Linked DNA regions of Saccharomyces cerevisiae S288C. The protein of the gene in region 2 binds, or shares a complex with, the protein of the main gene of each other region. Each region holds a gene or a part of one and is shown on either strand. Other genes may lie near its edges. A codon is read from its position in the direction of its gene.

The links.
Region 1: RET1 (region 2) and RPC10 share a complex: the UniProt entries of both Saccharomyces cerevisiae proteins name them as parts of the RNA polymerase III (Pol III) complex.
Region 3: the proteins of RET1 (region 2) and RPC40 are in contact, whole or in part, in a cryo-EM structure (PDB 7Z0H), measured with the Saccharomyces cerevisiae proteins. Residues at the interface, in NP_014850.1 of Saccharomyces cerevisiae: Phe718 (codon at 3,262), Thr729 (codon at 3,229), Tyr730 (codon at 3,226), Lys775 (codon at 3,091), Ser776 (codon at 3,088), Asp779 (codon at 3,079), Arg780 (codon at 3,076), Gly781 (codon at 3,073), Arg784 (codon at 3,064), Glu786 (codon at 3,058), Arg788 (codon at 3,052), Arg901 (codon at 2,713), Asn903 (codon at 2,707), Arg905 (codon at 2,701), Lys927 (codon at 2,635), Gln928 (codon at 2,632), Glu929 (codon at 2,629), Asp930 (codon at 2,626), Phe933 (codon at 2,617), Asn934 (codon at 2,614), Asp935 (codon at 2,611), Gln936 (codon at 2,608), Gly937 (codon at 2,605), Val992 (codon at 2,440), Gly995 (codon at 2,431), Phe996 (codon at 2,428), Asn997 (codon at 2,425), Tyr998 (codon at 2,422), Lys1001 (codon at 2,413), Asp1002 (codon at 2,410); in NP_015435.1 of Saccharomyces cerevisiae: Val5 (codon at 2,243), Ile7 (codon at 2,237), Glu8 (codon at 2,234), Tyr9 (codon at 2,231), Asn10 (codon at 2,228), Arg11 (codon at 2,225), Val12 (codon at 2,222), Thr15 (codon at 2,213), Thr16 (codon at 2,210), Ser17 (codon at 2,207), Thr61 (codon at 2,075), Ser62 (codon at 2,072), Asn65 (codon at 2,063), Arg68 (codon at 2,054), Arg69 (codon at 2,051), Ile72 (codon at 2,042), Ser73 (codon at 2,039), Val91 (codon at 1,985), Gln93 (codon at 1,979), Asp94 (codon at 1,976), Glu95 (codon at 1,973), Val96 (codon at 1,970), His99 (codon at 1,961), Arg100 (codon at 1,958), Leu103 (codon at 1,949), Gly214 (codon at 1,616), Asp215 (codon at 1,613), His216 (codon at 1,610), Ala217 (codon at 1,607), Thr224 (codon at 1,586).
Region 4: RET1 (region 2) and RPB5 share a complex: the UniProt entries of both Saccharomyces cerevisiae proteins name them as parts of the RNA polymerase III (Pol III) complex.

What each region holds. Positions count from the first base shown.
Region 1 is NC_001140.6:384,304-388,973, forward strand, and holds RPC10 (DNA-directed RNA polymerase core subunit RPC10), read left to right. Parts: upstream 1-2,929; coding exon 2,930-3,142; downstream 3,143-4,670. Other genes in the region: CHS7 (Chs7p), read left to right, coding at 1-185; DSE2 (Dse2p), read left to right, coding at 1,207-2,184; DCD1 (deoxycytidine monophosphate deaminase), read right to left, coding at 3,485-4,423. UniProt on the Saccharomyces cerevisiae protein: DNA-dependent RNA polymerases catalyze the transcription of DNA into RNA using the four ribonucleoside triphosphates as substrates.
Region 2 is NC_001147.6:728,045-735,895, forward strand, and holds RET1 (DNA-directed RNA polymerase III core subunit RET1), read right to left. Parts: upstream 5,414-7,851; coding exon 1,964-5,413; downstream 1-1,963. Other genes in the region: mRNA-binding ribosome synthesis protein NOC2, read left to right, coding at 1-1,600; tyrosine protein phosphatase PTP2, read left to right, coding at 5,881-7,851. UniProt on the Saccharomyces cerevisiae protein: DNA-dependent RNA polymerase catalyzes the transcription of DNA into RNA using the four ribonucleoside triphosphates as substrates. Second largest core component of RNA polymerase III which synthesizes small RNAs, such as 5S rRNA and tRNAs.
Region 3 is NC_001148.4:744,581-749,934, forward strand, and holds RPC40 (DNA-directed RNA polymerase core subunit RPC40), read right to left. Parts: upstream 2,256-5,354; coding exon 1,248-2,255; downstream 1-1,247. Other genes in the region: GLD1 (Gld1p), read left to right, coding at 109-993; serine/threonine-protein kinase DBF20, read left to right, coding at 2,726-4,420; RNA-binding ribosome biosynthesis protein MRD1, read right to left, coding at 4,676-5,354. UniProt on the Saccharomyces cerevisiae protein: DNA-dependent RNA polymerases catalyze the transcription of DNA into RNA using the four ribonucleoside triphosphates as substrates.
Region 4 is NC_001134.8:547,113-552,277, forward strand, and holds RPB5 (DNA-directed RNA polymerase core subunit RPB5), read right to left. Parts: upstream 1,898-5,165; coding exon 1,250-1,897; downstream 1-1,249. Other genes in the region: U4/U6-U5 snRNP complex subunit SPP381, read left to right, coding at 1-139; RIB7 (2,5-diamino-6-(ribosylamino)-4(3H)-pyrimidinone 5'-phosphate reductase), read left to right, coding at 348-1,082; HSP70/90 family co-chaperone CNS1, read left to right, coding at 2,659-3,816; SLI15 (Sli15p), read right to left, coding at 3,992-5,165. UniProt on the Saccharomyces cerevisiae protein: DNA-dependent RNA polymerases catalyze the transcription of DNA into RNA using the four ribonucleoside triphosphates as substrates.

The DNA.
Region 1 (4,670 bases), on a different chromosome or scaffold from region 2:
TCTCTACACAAATTTGTGAAGGGTTCAAGCACTACTTAGATGGCCTCTTTTTTGGAAGCATCTGTAATGTGTTCACATTAATGATGGTTTACAAGACTTGGGATATGACTACCGACGACGACTTGGAATTTGGTGTAAGTGTTAGCAAGGACGGTGACGTGGTGTATGATAATGGATTTATGTGAAATGCTTCTTTTTTCTATTACCATATATAGAAAATAGGTGTATACTATTAGTTTAATGTAATAAGCAGGACTATGACAAACCAAAGAGTGAAAGTAGCCGTTTCCACGTTTTAACGGCTTGTGTACACTTTGACAGTCAATCAGCGTAGTGACTTCTTTTATCAGCGGAAACAACCATATCCATAAAAGAAACGTGATGGTCGTTCCCGTAGTTTATTAAGTAAGATGACAAATTATCCTTCTTTAGTCAATTGAAAACAAAACTTCTTAATCTGTTTCCAATGTTTTAAAGTCGCTCATATGTTCATGACTACTTTTCCATGAGAGGGTTCTACGAAAAGCATCATCTTATTTTCGCAACGCTGCGGGTTTAGGCCTTTCCGCTGGTCTCTTTTCTGTTTACAGTTCTGCCCGAATGTAAACAAATACTTTGCGAAAAGTAAATAATGTATTCTGAAAAAAAAAAAGAGAACTGTGAACAATGCTTGATAGTTGTAGGAATATCTTAGAAGAAAGGGGATAGATTATCTGGAAAATCGTTTGAATAAAATAAGAACCAGTAATTCATTCGTTTAAATTGGAAAAACAAAACATAAAAGAACCAGCAATGTCTTGGTTGCCTGTTAATGTAAAAAGTTCTCCCAAAAGATGACAGGAAACTCGTTAACTCATACTCGGTATATAAGAGGAAACTTATCTAATGTTTCATTCATTCTTCCTCTTCTGCTTATTCGATGTCTATTGAAAAACTTCAAGTAAACCAGCAATATCGACTTCCATTAAGTAGACAGCGAGCCTGAAACAAAGAATATACTGTTTCAATTCCAACTAAAGCCACTCCCTCAAGCGTTATTATTTTTTGAATTATATTTTCGGGTTTTAAGCTAACTCTAGTCATTCCTTACTACATTTTATTGTAACTCTTCAGTAGAGCTAACCACAGTCATTCCTTAATATTTTTTAACACAGATCTCTTTCACAGAGTAGAAATAAAGCCACTCCTTTAACAAATTACAAAGAAATGAAATTTAATTTTTCTACAATTTTCAATATCTTATTCTTTTTATTCACCTTAATTGAAGCCAACAGCAATGGGGAAACAGTCAAACTTATTACTTCTGATGGTATTGTTTACAGTTATGCTGTCTACACAAAGACTCTTGCGCCGGCAAGGGTTGTGGTTAAAACGATTTCATATACTACTACAAGGGTATATCCGATTACTTTAGCTAATTCCGTCGTTTCTTCCACTACTGAAAAGATAACAGAGGTTTCAACGGTGTCAGCTTCAGAACAAGTTAGTGCTACTCAAACAAACTCATTGGTTTCTACTTCTACTGTTTCCACTATCAGTCCAACGATTTCATCTGGTTCTTCAACATCCTCTAGCTCTACATACGATATCGAATCATCTCAAAGTATCGAATCGTCAGGTACATCTTCCGCTACAGCCGAACCATCTGCGTCTTCAGGTTTTCGTTTGACTTCTAGTTCTGCTTTTGTTTCATCTACTGCACCTTTCTCTTCCCAACTTTCTTCATCTTCATCTTCTGAAACATCATCCTCATCATTTTCAACATCATCATCATCTGCCCCTCTTTCCTTAACTTCTTCTTCTTCTTCTTCTTCTTCTTTCGCCACTATTATTACCTTGGCACCATCGAGCTCAAAAAGCGGAAACTCTCAACTAACTTTGGCGTCATCGTCTTCCACTTCCGCAGTTGAGTCATCCCAAACAGGGTCCACTATAGCAAGAACTACCTCTACACTGGTACCCTCTTCTAGCGTAGATACAACGTCTAGAGCAACGACATCCATGCCATTAGAATCGTCTTCTACGCAATCGATATCCGTCTCCAGCTCGGATGGCACTTGTTACGTTTTTTATGATGATGATGACTACTATAGTACTGTCTACTTAACTAACCCGTCTCAATCCGTTGATGCCGCCACCACTATAACTAGTACAAACACAATTTATGCTACGGTTACCATTTAGCGCTTAGGCATAATGGTGGTGCATTCTTTTCTATTTGTTTTCTCAGGCGTATTTTTTCCATTATTTTTTGTTAAAAATAGTAAAAAGACAGTATTATTTATTCATTTTTCCTCGTGTTGTTATAACGACTAAGTTTCCTAATTTCTTTATTTTGTTTTTTTCTCATGATCTTTTCATTTTGTAGTTTCAACTATTATATACAATGTGTATACTATAACTTAATTTTATTAGTTACCTCTTACTAAGGATACTGATTCTTCCCCACTCATTTCATGAATTCATCACAAGTCTTTAGTATTTTTCATATGGAAATTACATCACCTATATATATCAAAATGTTCCGGCGAGTACATTGTCAGAATCTACAGTTTTTCCTGATATGAGCAGTGATATGGAGAAAGAGACACTAAATAAGAACAAAATATTGCCGTAGATTTAATGATTCAATCATGTGTGTCAAATTTGTTCTCCATTGCATCTTCCTATTTGACATTTGTCTCATGACCACGACATTGTACATTACCAGGTAAGGCTACAATTAGCCTCACCGATGTAACGTTATATAACGCTGCGGTCGTAGAATATGATTTTTCTGAATTTTAATTTTTTTTTTTTTTTTTTTCATTTCTTTAACATCTAAAATAGATTTTAGAATCAGAAAAGTGAAGAGTATTCCACATCATCGACTTATTCTACCAACATTTAATAAGAACGTACCCAAGAATAAAAGTCCACAAGTATAACAATGTCTCGCGAAGGGTTCCAGATTCCAACAAATTTAGACGCCGCAGCTGCAGGTACTTCTCAAGCTAGAACGGCAACTTTGAAGTATATTTGTGCTGAATGTTCTAGTAAATTATCTTTATCCAGAACTGATGCAGTCCGTTGTAAGGACTGTGGTCATAGAATCCTGTTGAAGGCTAGGACTAAGAGATTGGTTCAATTTGAAGCTAGATGAATGGAGAGACTGAAAACCATAATGGGTTACCGGGGCAGAATAATACGAAATAAAGAACCTAGGTTTTCCAAGGTTTTTGCAATATATAAACTTGTGCTTGATTTAAGTTTATGCAGCACTTTTCTTCCAGCAAATTCTTTATGTTTTTTTAAGGGAAAACGTATATCACTTAGAGATTATATTAATGAAAAAAGGTGTATACAAATGTATAATAATAATAGTATATAAGAAAAGTATTCGCTATTTATAGTGATTTTAGTTTGTACAATGTACTGTATTTTTTTTAAATGTAGTATTTTATATATATGTTACATTAGTTCGAACTGAAAAGGAACTTATGAATTAAATCATCACAATTCTTGGTTCTTCCGTAAAGCTGAATTGCCGGACGGTTATTCCCGCATTCTTCAAGACCTTGAAACTTTCCTCGTCCATTCTATAACTTTGGCTATAAACTACTTCACTGATGCCTGTTTGAACAATCTTTACAGAACATGTTAAGCAAGGGCAAGTATCACAGTATAAGGTCGCATTTTGACCTACACGATCCCTGCCAGCTTCCAGTAGTGCATTCTCTTCTGCATGTAAGCATAAGCAAGTGTGCAGATTTCTAGAATCACCGTCATTGCAACGTGGGCAACCGCCATTGAAACAATTTGTTAAATGTCGAGGAGTCCCATTATAGCCAGTAGCAATCACTCTGCATTCTCTCACAATCACGCAACCAACTCTACGTTTCATGCAATTGGAACGAGATGCTGCTAGTGTGGCTAACTTCATAAAATAGCTATCCCAACTAGGCCTCATTAATGGAGCCATTTGTTTCTCTTTGTCATCGAGAATCTTTAATTGTGTGGTAATGTTATTAATCAAGCTCTGTCTCCTTCCTCTGCGGTCCTCATTAACTATTTTAAATCTCAAATGGGATTTCTCCCTTAATTTGATGCCTTCAGGCTGAAAGTCATGTTGATCAATGGCTTGTATTATTTGTTCTAATGATAAGCTTTCTGCTTGAGTCGTTTTCCTGTATAATGCTACCCTTGTAGTGACAGGAGCGTCGATAGAAAGATGAACAAAAAATGGTCTCTTTTCCAGTTTCTCCAGTAATGATAATTTTTCTAGGAATATAACTGAATTTTTTGTGTAATTTTTCGTAGCATAATCTAATATCTCCTCTGGATTATCTAGGTGATTGAGTAATTCAAAATGAAAATGATCAACCAACATGTTAATAACATCTTCGCATCCGCAAAATTTCGTACCACTTACACCAATTAACATAATCGTGTTATATTGATTAGTGTAGCATTCACACCTTTAATGTGCCAAAAAAAGATGTTGAATTCTATGGTAATGCAGAAGTTTCAATTCTCGAGATTGCCTACATCATCTCATAACTGCGTACCGCGCGTTCTTGCAAAGAACAAAAAAGTGAAAAAATTATAATGGGGCGAGCTGGGAATTGAACCCAGGGCCTCTCGCATGCTTTGTCTTCCTGTTTAGGCAGGAAGTCGCCCAAAGCGAGAAT
Region 2 (7,851 bases):
TTCTTTGAAATTGGTTAGGAAATGGAAAAAACAACTTCATGATTCTCCAAGCTTAAAATTACTAAGGAACATAATCAGTGCTTTCAAGGTTGCTGTAAATTTGAACAAGGAAGAAAACATCGAAGACTATAAATATGCTATCACTGATGAGAAAGCATTCCACGAATTGATGTTCATGGTCTTGAAAGATGTACCACAAGCGATTCAAAAGATGGCCCCATACAAGATTGTAAAAGGCGCAAGGACCTTACCAAATGGAGGTAACGTCTCCAGGGTCTCGTCCATTGTCAAGTCGCATGCTGGCTCTTTGTTGATTTTATTGAATGATATTACTAATACGGAAACAGCAGCATTAGTTCTTCATTCTGTCAACGAATTGATGCCTTATCTTTTATCATACAGAAGGATCTTAAAGGAGCTTATTAAATCAATTGTTGGAGTATGGTCTACAACGAGAGAATTAGAAACCCAGATTGCTTCTTTTGCCTTTTTGATCAATACCACCAAAGAGTTCAAGAAGTCTATGCTAGAAACAACCTTAAAAACAACGTACTCCACTTTTATCAAAAGTTGTCGTAAAACGAATATGCGTTCTATGCCACTGATTAATTTTCAAAAAAATTCGGCAGCTGAATTGTTCGGTATCGATGAAGTTCTAGGTTACCAAGTTGGATTTGAGTATATTAGGCAATTGGCAATTCATTTAAGAAATACAATGAACGCGACAACTAAAAAATCCAGTAAAATTAATTCCGCAGAAGCTTACAAGATTGTATACAACTGGCAATTCTGTCACTCCTTGGATTTCTGGTCTCGTGTACTATCGTTTGCTTGTCAACCAGAAAAGGAAAATGGCAGTGAATCTCCTTTACGACAATTAATTTACCCATTGGTTCAGGTTACTTTGGGTGTAATCAGATTAATCCCAACACCACAATTCTTCCCATTAAGATTTTATTTGATTAAATCACTTATTAGACTTTCTCAAAATAGTGGTGTTTTTATTCCAATATATCCTTTACTTTCTGAAATTTTAACCTCAACGGCTTTCACTAAGGCACCCAAAAAGAGCCCTAACTTGGCTGCTTTCGATTTTGAGCACAACATCAAATGTACGCAAGCTTATCTGAATACAAAAATATACCAAGAGGGTTTGTCAGAACAGTTTGTGGACTTATTGGGCGATTATTTTGCTCTGTACTGTAAAAACATTGCATTTCCTGAACTTGTAACACCGGTTATTATCTCTTTACGCCGTTACATCAAGACTTCAACTAATGTCAAACTTAACAAACGTTTATCAACTGTTGTAGAAAAATTGAACCAAAACAGCACATTCATCCAAGAAAAGAGATCAGATGTTGAATTTGGGCCAACAAACAAATCTGAAGTTTCAAGATTTTTGAATGATGTAGCTTGGAATAAAACACCTTTAGGTTCTTATGTTGCAGTACAACGTGAAGTTAAGGAAGAAAAGGCCAGATTAATGAGAGAAAGTATGGAAGAACAAGACAAAGAAAGAGAAACAGAAGAAGCAAAATTATTAAACAGTCTGGAAAGTGATGATGACAACGAAGATGTTGAAATGTCAGACGCTTAACAACTCAGCAAGATTTGATTTTTTGTCTTGAATTCAATAGTTAAGTCTATAAATGTGTAAAATAAAGAAAAGTCTTTTTTAAAGCGTATATATCATTGTGCTCACATGTGCTAACATGTGAGCACTCCAAGCTTTCTCTTGTCAGCTGGATATTTTTATATTTTGGCCGGTTTATGGATAGAAAACACGTCAAACGTTCGATGGATCTTATAAAAAGTAATGATGTAAAGCAAGGTACAAAAATGAAAGAAGTACGGTTTACTGTTATATAATTTTCGAAATCGTTCAACTCTCTTAAAGTTCCTCACGAAATAGATATGATTGCTAACATAACGCAAAATTTAGTACAAGATATATGATTTCTTACTGCTGGAAGATATCTTCCAATCTTAATCTTGGGGCTATGTTCATGGATAATAATTCCTGGAATAACAGTTTTGCTGCATATGGAATAGTCATCTTAATAATATTCTCAGCACTTTTGCAGGTAGTACACCAACCACTATAGCCCATTAATCCACATTTATCGCAGACATCAACTTCAAAAGCATCTGAACTAATCATCAACCTTTCTAACAGCAATTGTGAAGCACCATACGCGATTACACAATCCCTCTCCATCTCACCCAACCTCAGACCACCATCTCTAGATCTACCCTCAGTTGGTTGACGTGTCAAAACAGCCCTTGGACCACGAGCTCTTGCATGCATCTTATCTAAGACCATATGCTTTAACTTTTGATAGTAAATGGGGCCAAAAAAGATGTAAGCCTGTAAACACTCACCTGTTATACCTGAATATAACATATCCTTACCGGAATAGTTGAAACCTTGGTCTACCAAAATCTTAGACATATCTTCAAGTTTAGAACCACCAAAACAAGTACCATATTCCAATGTACCATTCAATACACCAGCTTTACCCGATATCAGTTCGATCATTTTACCCACAGTCATACGAGATGGAAAACCGTGAGGGTTCATGATAATGTCTGGAACTATACCTTGATCGTTGAAGGGCATGTCTTCTTGCTTTACAATAATACCACAAACACCTTTTTGACCATGTCTAGAAGAAAATTTGTCACCTAATTCTGGCCTTCTGTTTTGTCTTAGCAAAACTTTGATTAAAGCTTGATCGTTATCCGAAACAGACATCATAACTTGGTCAATGTGAGAAGGTTCTGGACCTCTATATATTACCGGAGCTTCCCTATATTGAGTTTGGACGTTTACGTTGTTTGGGTTTGGGGCGTCTGCTGAGTTAGTTGGAACTGACTTATTTATATAAATTTGTCCACTTTGGACCTTCATACCCACCTCACCTAGACCATCAGGACCAAGAGATTGATGTTGCCAGATAGGATCTCCATTTTCATCAACTCTCATACCACCGATGATATCTTGGGTATGGTTCGCATATCTTTTCAAAACAGTGGTTGTCTTTCTACGTGTTTCGCAACGGCCGAAACCTCTATCGATGGATGACTTATTCAAAACCAAAGCATCTTCAATATCATAACCAGAATAGGACATGACAGCAACCGTAGCATTTTGACCAGCAGGTAATTTATCATAATCGATCAATTCAATTGTTTTGGTTTTCACCATTGGCTGTTGTGGATAAGTCATCAAGTATAATAATGTATCTATTCTCTTGAATTGATTGTAGGCGATTGCACCAATCGCTTGCTTACCCATCGCACATTGATATGTGTTACGAGGGGATTGGTTATGATGTGGATATGGAATTAAACCAGCAACAGCACCTAAAATTGTGAATGGCTCGATTTCTAAATGTGTCATCGAGGGAACTATATCTTTTTCATACAATGCAATGTAAGAATCGTTTTCTTCATTGACATCTAAATATTCCACCAATCCGAGTTTCAAAAAATCATCGAAATCTAACTCACCATCTAATAATTTGCGTAAATGAATATCTTTCACGCGAGATTGACCATCAGAAACAATGATTAATGGCCTACAAATTCTACCACCATCTGTTGCAATATGAACTGCCATTTGGTGAGAATTTGAATAAATTGAGATAAACTCCGACACTTTACCTGTTCTTCTCAGATGTCTGAACTGAGTAACGAATTTTGTTGGGAATCTGATTGAACCAATTAAAGTACCATTCAAATAAACACCATAGTTTAAATGCAAGGATGCACTGTCAATCAATGTTATGTCTTCTACACCAAGAACATAACATAATTTCTTTATAGGTTCCTCTTCGTCATCTGTAGTAATATGAGTCATTAATGCTAAATTTTTCACTAGACCACACGCCTCACCTTCTGGAGTATCTGCAGTACAAAGCATACCAAATTGAGAAGGTTGTAATGCTCTTGGACCGGAAACTTTTCTTGATTTTTCAAACTGAGAAGAAATTCTTGTCATCATACCCAATGCGGAAATATAAGATAGTCTGGAAAGAACATGTGTAACACCCGCTCTTTCCATCTTAAATCTTTTAAGAGACCAATTACCGGTTGAGATAGCTCTGTTCAGTCCGCTGGTGATGTTATTTGAATGGACGTTAATTGACAATAATGCATCGTATTCCATAGCCCTATTTGGTTTTTTCAAGACCTTATCAATGCTTAGTTTAAAATCATTATTAAACTTTTTGAACAAATCTTCGAACAATAAAGAAATCAATTGGCCTGCTAATTCAAGACGTTTATTACCAACATAATCTCTATCATCAATCATCTTAGGGTTATACATTGCCATCACCACCCTGCGCGTCATCATGGCAATATATAAAGCCTTTTCTCTAAAGTCAAGGGCTTCCACAGTCAAATGTGCAATAACCGTGGTAGCAATGGCCTCTATACCCTCTTGCAGGATAGTCAGTTTTTGCCTTCTCATTGTCTTTACTTTTGCACCAATATACTCTAAAGCTTGCTGTTGTGTGTAAATATCTAATTTCGAAGATTCTTCCAAATTGACTGCAAAAATATCTTGGTAGCTACTATCATTACCGCAAACCAATTGCATAATTTCTAAATCTGATAAAATACCACAGGCTTTGAGAACAATAGCAATAGGAATTTCTTCAGCGATGGAATTGTGCTTCAAATAGATCTTGCCATTTTTGGTAATGACATAAGTCTTAGATTTTCTTTCATGGGTAGATGAAGTAACGGAGGCCTGAACAATGCCTTTCTTCTCATCTGCCTCCACAATAATACGATTCTTGGATAATTGTTCTTGAACAAGAATTACTTTTTCGGTACCGTTAACAATAAAGTAACCACCAGGATCCAACGGACACTCGTTTAATTTAGCCATTTTCGATTCATCAGCATCATATAGGATACATTTATTAGATCTCAGCATGATCGGCATCCTACCAATTTCCACGTCTTTATGCATAATAATGTTTCTACCTCTAGTGTATTCTATATCCACGTAGATTGGTGCAGAGTATGTCATATCTCTAAGCCTACACTCATGAGGCGGAGTCAAATAATCTTTTGTCGAAGAAGAGGACTTCTTACCCACTCTAATATCGACGTACTTCAGGTAGAATTCTGGATCAACATCACTCAAAATTAATTGATTTGCCTTTATAATTTTTTTTAAATCTGTATCAACGAAGTAGTTAAATGAGTCAAGATGTTGCTTCACCAAACCTTTAACCTTCAAGAATGCTGGTAAAAGGTGCCACTTATCCTGAGCAGTATTGATTTCATCAGTTAGTTTCTTACCTTTATATACTGGTTTCAATAAATCATCAAAAGCCTCGTCTTTCACATGCTTATGTATATGAGTTTTCCGTCTTTTTGTCGCAGCAACCATTTTTCAACAAGCACTAAGTCCCTAGCGATTAAAACGCTCAATTATCAACACTTTAAACTCCCTTTAATTCTTTCCTAACTTGTCCATATATCATCACTTAAGCATAGATCGAAAAATTTTCAGCTCATCTCACAATTACAATTTCGTCCGACGTGATCTGGAAAATACGCGCCTGCTTTATGGAACTATTTATATCTTTATGTGTAGTACACCTAACAATAAGGAATATATAAAAATAATGCACCTATTAAAACCTTTGGGAAGTGCCAACTTTGAATCATCATCTTTCTTTGAACACCGCGCTGCGACCTTTGACAAGAAAGACGAGATCACTCAACCTGACAGACCCGATTCCCCTGGTTCCCCTCTTCCGCTTTGCACAGCCCTTTTCGCTTAGTTTGGAAGCCTAGGTCCGATCCCCAGTGCTATTAATAGTTTACAATAAAATAGGATCGACGTTGCTATTGATGGATCGCATAGCACAGCAATATCGTAATGGCAAAAGAGACAATAACGGCAATAGAATGGCTTCTTCCGCTATATCGGAAAAGGGCCACATACAAGTCAATCAAACTAGAACACCTGGTCAAATGCCCGTCTATAGAGGTGAAACTATAAATCTGTCTAACCTTCCCCAAAATCAAATTAAACCGTGCAAAGATTTGGACGACGTTAACATACGGCGGAACAACTCTAATAGGCATTCTAAAATACTTTTACTAGATCTGTGCGCTGGCCCCAATACCAACTCATTTTTAGGCAATACCAATGCTAAGGATATCACAGTTTTATCGTTGCCGCTACCCAGCACTTTGGTGAAAAGGTCGAACTACCCGTTCGAGAACTTACTAAAGAATTACCTTGGATCTGATGAAAAGTATATTGAGTTCACAAAGATCATCAAAGATTATGATATTTTCATTTTCAGTGATTCGTTTAGCAGAATTTCGAGTTGTTTAAAGACAACTTTTTGCCTCATTGAGAAGTTTAAAAAGTTCATCTGCCATTTTTTTCCATCTCCTTATTTGAAATTCTTTCTTCTCGAAGGCTCTCTGAATGATAGCAAGGCCCCCTCATTAGGAAAAAATAAGAAAAATTGCATCTTGCCCAAATTGGATTTGAACTTGAATGTAAACTTAACTTCAAGGTCAACTTTAAATTTAAGAATAAACATACCTCCACCCAATGATTCAAATAAAATATTTTTACAGTCTCTGAAAAAGGATCTAATTCATTATTCTCCTAATTCTTTGCAAAAGTTTTTCCAATTCAATATGCCTGCTGACTTAGCACCTAACGACACGATTTTACCGAATTGGCTAAAATTCTGCTCCGTAAAAGAAAATGAAAAGGTAATATTAAAGAAACTCTTTAACAATTTTGAAACTTTAGAAAATTTTGAAATGCAAAGATTAGAGAAATGCCTGAAATTCAAGAAAAAGCCTTTACATCAAAAGCAGCTATCACAAAAGCAGAGGGGTCCGCAATCCACGGATGATTCAAAATTATATTCTTTAACTAGTTTGCAACGACAGTATAAAAGTTCTTTGAAAAGCAACATACAGAAAAATCAAAAGCTAAAATTAATTATACCAAAAAACAACACATCTTCTTCGCCATCACCATTATCTTCCGATGATACTATAATGTCACCAATAAATGATTACGAACTTACTGAAGGAATTCAGTCTTTTACTAAGAATAGATATTCTAATATCTTACCTTACGAACATTCAAGAGTAAAGTTACCTCACTCCCCGAAACCACCTGCAGTTTCTGAAGCATCCACAACCGAAACTAAAACAGATAAGTCATATCCGATGTGTCCCGTAGATGCAAAAAACCACTCCTGCAAACCGAACGACTATATCAATGCGAACTATTTGAAGCTCACGCAAATTAATCCTGATTTCAAGTATATTGCTACCCAAGCTCCGCTTCCTTCTACGATGGATGATTTTTGGAAGGTTATTACTTTAAATAAAGTTAAAGTAATAATATCATTGAATTCTGACGATGAATTGAATTTAAGAAAATGGGATATTTACTGGAATAATCTGTCATATTCCAACCACACTATCAAACTTCAGAACACCTGGGAGAATATTTGCAATATTAATGGCTGTGTTCTCAGAGTCTTTCAAGTCAAGAAAACAGCTCCACAAAATGATAATATCAGTCAAGATTGTGACCTTCCGCATAATGGTGACCTTACTTCCATTACCATGGCTGTATCCGAGCCGTTTATTGTTTACCAATTACAATACAAGAATTGGTTAGATTCATGCGGCGTAGATATGAATGACATCATTAAACTACACAAAGTCAAAAATTCGTTATTGTTTAACCCGCAAAGTTTTATTACAAGCCTCGAAAAGGATGTTTGCAAGCCTGATTTGATAGATGATAATAATAGTGAGTTACATCTCGATACAGCA
Region 3 (5,354 bases), on a different chromosome or scaffold from region 2:
CAAATAAAGCTAAACTGCGGAAGCCTAAAAATACTAAGCACGCTATTTGTCATCCATTAGCAGGCCAAAAGCAAACTAATCTATGTTTTCAATAAGGCCAATATAATAATGGATAATTTTGAAAGTACTGCTGAAGGAAATTTAAGTATAGGAAACAAACGAGTATACGAACTACGAAAAAGAAACTTCCAAAGAAATTTGGTGAATAATTTGAGCTTTCTCGGGTATGTTTTAATATCATTGGAATATATCAAGTATGATCGTACCGTCTGGACACTTATAACAAGAGCAATAGTGCAATCTCTCATAAGTTCTCCTTTTCCAAGTGATGCCAAGTTACGTAGGCTAGCGACCCTCGGTGCAGATAATAACACGACGGGGGTTGCAACACTTCCAGGCGGAAGATCTATCAGGTTTCCCGGAATGTTTGGAACAGAAATGCTTTATAATTCTTCTAGTGAAGCTGAGCAACAAGACCATGATGATACCGCTATTGTGTCCATGAAAAAGCAAATCCGGAAGTTTTTATTTCATGGTTGCTTATCGTTGAATATGCTTTTCATTATCTTAACAATCCTATTCCCAATTGATTTTTTTGAACCCCTGAGTGGTAGCGAGCCAGTAGACGATGGCCCTAAGAATACTCCCTCACCCTTTTCCAATTCAGATGGTCTACTTTTGGGTGAGAGAAGAGGTGGGCTTTTTCTACAGATGATCGGAGAACGGCTACCAAAGAGCAACTTTTCCGGCAATCTTGGATTAGTAATGTTCGAATTTAGCATACTTATTGTACAGTTTACTTTATTTTCACTAACATGTGTTGTATTGGCAGATTTAGATTTTGAAGAGCCAGAAAGACTAGAACCTGTAAATAGTGATGGCTACGATGGCTCTGTAATAGTTGCACGAATACCATTAAATAAAACCATGAATGCCATTTTAAATGACGGCAATATTAATGACAACAATGAGAATGCTAGCAATTCTGTCTAATAGTATATATATGTAGTCCATAAGGGGTAATGCATATTACTGTTATCGGCACTATTTTATAGAGAGTTACATTTACATATATCATTCTATTACATTTCCTTATCTATGACGATTCATGGGTTTGTATTTTTTTGGTAGGATTTGCCAATTCTACTAATACTAGAAGAAAAGATTATACAAAGATAAAGACCCTGAGGTTAAGTATTTAATATTTTTCTCAAACTGTGTTTTTTTTATTAGTATGCAAAGTAGGATCATTGGGTAATTGGACAGTTTTTCAAATACTCAGCCTTATTCTTTAAAATCCTGACGGATTTGAAAAAAATTTCTTCTGGTGTCATGGCACCAGCGCTTTCTACGTTGAAAATAAAGTGGTTCCTCACTCTTCCTAATTTAACTTTATCAGCAAACTCTTCGTATCTTAAAACCTCCCTGGAAACCGTATCCTTCCTAGCATCTTTGACATACGCTTCATCTGAACCTTCATCAATACCAATAACACCTGGGGGAAAACATTTTTGAAATCTTCTGGCACTTTCACCTTTGATTGGCTGTAAGATATTGATTTGAGGTAATAATCTATAAGAAGCGGTGGAAACTGGTGAAAATTTAGCATGATCACCACCGATACCTAAAATGCAATGTGCCTTCAACGAAATTTCTTGACCAGGCCTTAGCTTAGCTAATAAAATATCAGGATCAGCTGGAACAACCGGACAATCAGCAAAAGTGGTAGATTGTCTGCCCTGTGGTTCAAACTTCAAATCACGGGCGTAGACATGGGCATTGTTATATAGTTCCTTTGGATCAGTAGATCCCTTTGGAGCATCTGGATTTCTTGTGCACTTCACGTTCAAACTCAAAACGATAGTATTTTCATCCGTAAACTTTTCATCGTCCGGCAAATTACTATCAACCCATGTGAGCATATCAGGGTCAACTTTTAATGGAACCAAGCCTATTCTATGAGCCAAAACCTCATCTTGGATAACGGATGTATTGTTAAAAAAATAGACGTATTCAGCAGCCACGGATGGAACCTCGGAAATCATTATACGACGAAAGGCATTCGCAATCGATGTGTCAATGTTTATCAAGTCGAAATTTGCCTCTCTTGCGTCTAATGACGAAATATTGACTTCGAAGTCCTTTTTGAATTTTTCCACATTCCACTCGTTTTCTGCATCCTTCGAGAAACCAGGAAAATCCGTGGAGGTTGTATTCGTTACACGGTTATATTCAATACCCACAATATTTGACATATCTTCTTTCACCTACTTACTTTCATGCACTTGATACCTGCTCTTCTACATAATATGAGTGAAATTTTTTCTTTCAACTCATCGCAATAATTTTTTCACAAAATTTTTGTGAATCCAAGTCACTATAAACGGAATTAATAAATATTTGCAACATAAAGCACAATGTATTGTAGCAGAAGACAAACGACAAGTATGGGATAATGCAACATCTCTTTCTAATTAATATAAAATCAAGAATAAGCATGTCTTCTGACTAATTTTTATATACAAACACCAAGATCATAAATTTTTGTCTTTGAATGGATAATTAACCCATACACCTCATACAAGATTTTGAGAGTAAACACAAATCAATGGACCTGTAGTCGGCTAGATCACAGATCATGATGAACTGTATTGTCGCAACAAACTTGTAACTCCAATAGTGATTAGCAACCCAGAATATCGTATTCAACAATAATTCGGTAGTCATGTTTTCACGAAGTGATCGAGAGGTAGATGATTTGGCTGGTAATATGAGTCATTTAGGGTTCTATGATTTGAATATTCCTAAACCTACTTCTCCACAGGCGCAATATAGGCCTGCTAGAAAGAGCGAAAATGGAAGATTAACTCCCGGACTTCCAAGATCATATAAGCCGTGTGATTCAGATGATCAAGATACCTTCAAAAATCGCATTTCATTGAATCACTCACCGAAGAAGCTACCCAAGGATTTTCACGAGCGTGCTTCCCAAAGTAAAACCCAGAGAGTTGTTAATGTATGCCAACTTTACTTTCTCGACTATTACTGTGACATGTTTGATTATGTTATTAGCAGAAGACAACGTACGAAGCAGGTGCTAAGATATCTTGAACAGCAAAGAAGTGTCAAAAACGTTTCTAATAAGGTTTTAAATGAAGAATGGGCTTTGTATTTGCAAAGAGAACACGAAGTACTGAGAAAAAGGAGGTTGAAACCTAAGCACAAGGATTTTCAGATACTGACACAAGTTGGACAGGGTGGTTATGGGCAAGTTTATCTTGCAAAAAAAAAAGACAGTGATGAAATTTGTGCTTTGAAAATATTAAACAAGAAACTTTTATTCAAACTAAACGAGACGAATCACGTCCTTACTGAGAGGGACATACTAACCACAACTAGATCTGACTGGCTTGTGAAGTTGCTTTATGCATTTCAGGATCCAGAGAGCCTATATTTAGCAATGGAATTTGTACCTGGTGGTGATTTTCGCACATTGTTAATAAATACAAGGATATTGAAGAGCGGTCACGCAAGGTTCTATATCAGCGAAATGTTTTGTGCCGTGAACGCGTTGCATGAACTTGGTTACACTCACCGGGATTTAAAGCCGGAGAATTTCTTGATTGATGCTACAGGGCATATCAAGCTGACCGATTTTGGTCTAGCAGCAGGGACCGTATCAAATGAAAGAATCGAAAGCATGAAAATACGCTTAGAAGAAGTAAAGAATTTGGAATTTCCTGCTTTCACAGAAAGGTCTATCGAGGATAGAAGGAAAATATATCATAACATGAGGAAGACAGAAATTAATTACGCTAACTCTATGGTCGGTTCGCCTGATTATATGGCCCTAGAAGTTCTGGAAGGTAAAAAATACGATTTTACAGTGGATTATTGGTCATTAGGCTGTATGCTTTTTGAAAGTTTGGTTGGATATACACCTTTTAGTGGTTCTTCTACTAATGAAACTTACGAGAATTTAAGATATTGGAAAAAAACTTTAAGAAGGCCCCGTACTGAGGATAGAAGAGCAGCATTCTCAGATAGAACCTGGGATTTAATTACAAGACTAATAGCTGACCCCATCAACAGAGTACGATCTTTTGAGCAAGTTCGCAAAATGTCTTATTTCGCAGAGATCAATTTTGAAACCCTAAGAACAAGTTCTCCACCATTTATTCCTCAATTAGATGATGAAACGGATGCAGGTTATTTCGATGACTTCACAAATGAAGAAGATATGGCTAAATATGCAGATGTCTTCAAAAGACAGAACAAATTATCTGCAATGGTCGATGACTCTGCCGTTGATTCCAAGCTTGTTGGATTTACTTTTAGGCATAGAGATGGAAAACAAGGTTCAAGCGGGATACTTTACAATGGTTCAGAACATTCAGACCCTTTTTCAACTTTTTATTAAGATTACGTCCCTACAATTTAATTTTGTATAGCATAACAGATACATTGACAACAGCAACAAGATGTGCTAACATTTTCCATTTTGAATGATTACCAAAATTATGAAACCAAGGCAACATGTAATTTTTAAGTTTAGTAATCTTTTTCGGGATGAGATGTTTTGAAGAGTTTTATGCTATTAAAGTAGTAATATGATTTATATATTCAAATAAAATGTAAATTATGAAAGAAAAATACGATAAGCTGATAGGGTAAACTAGAAACCTTCGTTTTCTTCATCATCCACATCCAGTTTCTTTCTACCGCCCCCATTTCTTAAGGCAGCCATCTCATTAGTGGCAACTTGCTTTCTAACCTTCTTTGTCATCCTGGCTATCTCTTCTTCAGCGTCAACTGCATCTTCTTCTGCATATTGCATTACCAATCTGCGGCCCAGTAAATGGACACCGTGCAACTGATCCATAGCATTTTCTGCTTCCTTTGGAAGTAAAAATTCCACGAACGCAAAACCTCTTGCAGACTTGTCGAACTTCTTTGGAACTCTAACAGATTTTAATTGACCAAAAGAATTGAATAATTCGAAAACGTCTTTCCTAGTAGCTTCAAATGGAAGATTCTTAACAATGATTTTACCGCTTTTCTTATTGGATTTAGTCTTTGTATTACCGCTCTGAGATGCTTGTCTATGGGATAACTTCAATTGAATCTTATGGCCGTCGATTACCGTCCCATCCATTGCAGCTATCACGGCATTAGCTTGTTCCTTGGTCCTGAATTCTACAAAACCAAACCCCATTGACAAGGTCTTGCCTTGATGTTTTGGATCAGGTTTTGTCTTCACTTGGGCAACAACAAAACCAGTGAAAACCTTGAACCTATCAGTAAGATTTTGGTTCGTCGTGGAGAAGTTTAGATTCTTTATGAAAATTGAGACA
Region 4 (5,165 bases), on a different chromosome or scaffold from region 2:
AAAACAAAGATCGGCTGAAAAAGTAGAAAAATCTCACAATAACAACCGTTACAAGATTACAAGAACTAAAAATGTTGAATTTGGTGACCTAGGCAAGAATAGTAGAGATTACGAAGAAACTGAATATTCGGTTATATAACACCGCATCACACACACAAACCCACATGCCTTTCAGTTAGTTGATGTCGGGAAAATCCCGAAACAGAAAAAAGAGGCAAAGATGAAGATATCAAATTTTTTCGCAGAACCATTACATCTGGCTTTGGATACGATGAAACAATCTAGCAGAAATACAGTACCAACCTATTGGTAGCTTCTTTGTATTACTATCAACATTTTTAGAAGATATGTCTTTGACACCACTGTGTGAAGATTTACCACAATTTCTGCAAAACTATCTACCGAATGCTGGTCAAACGGAAAATACCATTGTGCCCTTTGTCACACTAACTTATGCTCAATCGCTCGACGCGAGAGTATCTAGGGGCCCTGGAGTGAGGACTACAATTTCACATCCCGAGACCAAAACAATGACGCATTATTTGAGACATCATCACGATGGAATACTCGTAGGAAGTGGAACAGTGCTAGCTGATAATCCTGGATTGAATTGTAAATGGGGTCCCGATCCGGCTGCAAATTCCCCAAGGCCAATAATAATAGATACAAAGCAAAAGTGGCGATTTGATGGTTCAAAAATGCAAGAACTTTTTATTAAACGACAGGGTAAGCCGCCAATCGTTGTTGTCACAAGTGAGCCCATTATAAAAGAACAACATGTAGACTACGCAATTTGTCCAATAAATGATACTACGAAATTGGTCGATTGGAAGAAATTGTTTGAGATATTAAAAGAAGAATTCAATATAAGGTCAGTAATGGTTGAAGGAGGTGCCAATGTAATAAATCAGTTGTTGCTGAGGAGCGATATTGTCAACAGTCTTATAATAACTATTGGATCAACATTTCTGGGTAGCTCAGGCACCGAAGTTAGCCCACCCCAAACAGTAAATTTAAAGGATATGTCATGGTGGAAGGGCATTACCGATGTGGTGCTTTGTGCGAGACTGGCCGATGACTAATAGTGTTAGAACTCCACCTTCTGTGTAATTTCTTTCTGAAATTAGTGAAAAAAACGCGCCTTTCAAATTTTCATACTAGTGATTGGTTTATTGCAGATTATTTATTTCTAATTGTACATATTCTTGTTATTTTATATTATATGAAAGGGGTAAATCCAAATGCCACTCTACATACAGATTCTGTAACTGGCATAACGACCAGAGGTTTCACTTTTTCTTATGATTTTAACTACTTCGCCTCTTTTCAATCCCAAGTATAAGGCTACAGGATCAGCTCTTTGAATTCTTGGCAATTGGGATTCCTTCAATCTATACCTTTTTAAAAGCTCTCTTTTCTCATCACTACTCAATCTGATATGCTTTGGAACCAATTCGTGGTGAGTAATATTAACCACTAAGGCAGCTTCATTAAAAGTTTCAATGGTGGCTGGTGGTATAGAAGGCACCAATTTCATTGCACTTGGTGTAATATTATTTTGGTAAACAAAGATACCTGTTTGGAAATTTTTTTCTTGAATATGTATAACAAAAGTCTTCATTGTCTTTACACCAACGGAAGGCTCATCACAAAATTCTACCCATAAGGAGCCCATGTCTGGGAACTTTGATATAGATTCTTCTGTTGGATTTGCCTGGAAGGACATCATTTTACGTTGTGGTCTGCCCATGGAGTCACAATACTTGGCCTTGAAATCTTCCAATGGCAATTCGACTTCCTCTTGAGTGATAAAATAACCCCTGTCCTTAACCATTTCTTTTACTGTTCTGAATGCTCTCCATAATCTTGAGATGTTTCTTTCATTTTCTTGGTCCATTGTCTTAGCTTATTAGTAATATCCACCTGCGCACAAATTTTGTAAATCCCCTACTAATTTAATTTGAATTCAAATTGGCTCGTGATCTGTTGACCCTTGTTAGCAACGTTTGTAATCTTCCTCACCGAATTGCGTCGTTTTGAATAATATATATGATTGAAAATTTTTCAAGAGAAAAGAAAAATTTTTCCTTCCGCGGTCAGCCATTGCTAAAAAAAGGCCTCCGTTAGGAGTCGAATAGAGGACAACAACAATACATTGCCACTTTAATTTTAAATGCTTGCATATTAACTAGCGATCAGATGCTCTGCTCTATATAAAATAAATTATTGATACGGTTTCTAGTCTCGGTTGATGATAAGAGTACGTTAATCCACCTACCGAGCATTACCAAGATATCTGGCACTTTATATGTAGAGAGTCTGTGTTCTCAAGTTTACTTGTGCGGATAATGAGCTTAAAGACTTAAATACTAAAAGCGTATGCGTTCGTATCTCTGTTTAGGCACCTTGTACAGTTTCACAGAAAACTGTGTAATGTGTGATTATAGTACACAGAACAAAATAACTTCACCTCATCTCTTTCTTAACGCAGTGAGGAAAAAGGTGGAAAAAAAAGAAAGAAAAAAAGAATATGTGTAATTTCCGGCACTTTTCAGAGCGATGAGCTTAAATTCAAAAGCAGCATTGAATTAAAAGTGAGGTCTTGAGCACTACATTCTAGCAAGTAAAAGAAAAGAATAAATTGGTTTTGCATCTAGAATGAGCTCCGTTAACGCAAATGGAGGATATACCAAACCACAAAAATATGTGCCAGGGCCAGGTGATCCTGAACTTCCACCCCAACTATCCGAATTTAAAGATAAAACATCGGATGAAATCTTGAAAGAAATGAACAGAATGCCTTTTTTCATGACCAAGTTGGATGAAACAGACGGTGCAGGTGGTGAAAACGTGGAGTTAGAAGCTTTAAAGGCATTAGCTTATGAAGGCGAACCACACGAAATCGCTGAAAATTTCAAGAAGCAAGGTAACGAACTATACAAAGCAAAAAGATTCAAGGATGCAAGGGAACTTTACTCAAAGGGCTTGGCTGTAGAATGCGAAGATAAATCAATAAATGAGTCACTATATGCCAATAGAGCGGCATGTGAGTTAGAGCTGAAAAATTACAGGAGGTGTATCGAGGACTGCAGTAAAGCTCTAACTATTAACCCCAAGAATGTTAAGTGCTACTATCGTACAAGCAAGGCTTTTTTCCAATTAAACAAGTTGGAGGAGGCCAAATCAGCCGCAACATTTGCCAATCAAAGGATTGACCCAGAGAACAAATCAATTTTGAATATGTTATCAGTGATTGATAGAAAAGAACAAGAATTGAAAGCAAAAGAAGAAAAACAGCAAAGAGAAGCTCAGGAACGTGAAAACAAGAAAATTATGTTAGAGAGCGCAATGACGCTGAGAAACATAACTAACATCAAAACTCACTCTCCAGTAGAGTTACTTAATGAGGGTAAAATAAGGCTAGAAGACCCAATGGATTTTGAATCTCAATTGATCTATCCCGCATTAATTATGTACCCCACGCAAGATGAATTTGATTTTGTAGGTGAAGTAAGTGAGTTAACTACTGTGCAAGAACTTGTTGACCTAGTTTTGGAAGGGCCGCAAGAACGCTTCAAAAAAGAAGGTAAGGAAAACTTCACACCAAAGAAAGTGTTGGTGTTCATGGAAACAAAGGCAGGTGGTTTGATTAAAGCTGGTAAGAAACTGACATTTCACGATATCTTGAAGAAAGAGTCGCCAGATGTACCATTGTTCGATAACGCTTTGAAAATATATATTGTGCCAAAGGTAGAAAGTGAAGGGTGGATTTCCAAGTGGGATAAGCAAAAAGCCTTAGAAAGAAGATCTGTGTGAAGTGTCAAATAGTTAAAAATATGTAACGCAAAGTTGTAGATAGAAATAACAAAGCAAGAAGGAAAAGTAAAGAAAGTGAACGATATACGTAATGCAGGGGGAATACCAGAGTATTTAAAGTGTACTTGATTTAATGTTAACCAGTTTGAATTTTTCTTTTCTGGGGTAATCGAATTCAAGACCTTTTGGGCACAATTTGACGCGGTTTCAACCTGTTTAGCCTAGGATTTGGGAAAATTTCATCGGTGTGCAAAGGCGGAATTGGTCCAAAGATAGTTTGTGGATTTATATCTTGCTGTCTTATCAATTGCTCTTGCAAATACGGGGATTTAGCCCATGCCGCTAAAGTTACGCTAGCCTCATCTTCAGAATCAGTATTTATCTCTGGTAAAGAATCATTGACAGAGGCTATCTTTGGGGTCACATTTCCGATTATTTCTCGATGGTCAACTGTATTTATTGTGGCCAATATATTGTCGGTACTAAATGCAGTATTTTTGTTGATGGTATCTCGCACATGATTATCGAAAGGAGCCAAAGATTCTTTTAGACGTATGTCCTTGTAGTCATTACTAAAGCTTGTTTGCTTTTTTAGATCTTGTTCCAAATGCGACATCCTTTTTTGTTTCTCTTGTTTACGCCGATGATGTTCCTGTTGAGACCTCATAATTCCTGATAACCTTTTATCAAACTTTTTTTTTAAGTCATCTCGTTCTGCCTCTGCTGGTGGAAGTAATTGAAGGTTTGTAAGCCGATAATTTTTGGATTTACGAGACTCTGGCTTGGAGATGTCAGCAATATTCGGAGAAAGTTTTCTTAATGTTTTCTCTTTAATTTTCAAACGATGTGGCGTTTGCGACGTTGTTAAATTTTTATTTTTATTAGGCGAAATAGACGCTTTTGTTGGTCTCAAATAACCTCTTACAGGGCTTTGGTAATAATTTTTAACTTCTTTAGATGGCGAGCTTGAATCGACACTTATTTTTGTTGGAGAAATACTGTGCGGTCTTGAACCAGTTTTATGAACATCACTAGAGTGTTTGGACTTCTTTTTCTGTTCTGCAATGATTGCTAGCTTTTTGTGTGTCGTTAGCTTCAAAGAAGTCTTATCAAACCTCGGAATAGAGGATTTTCGAGAGTTTTTTCCTTTGGGTGAATTATTTTTGGTTATTTTATTTTTTACTGAGAATATATCTCTTAACGCTTCTTGCATATCAGTATCCGTGGAGTTTATTGACTTAAACTTTTGAGAAACTTTTTTCATGGGGGAGCCTGTTAAATCGATTGATGAAGAGGAGTATTTGTGACCAACGTTTCCACGGGAAATTTTGTTTTCAAATGATTTTGTT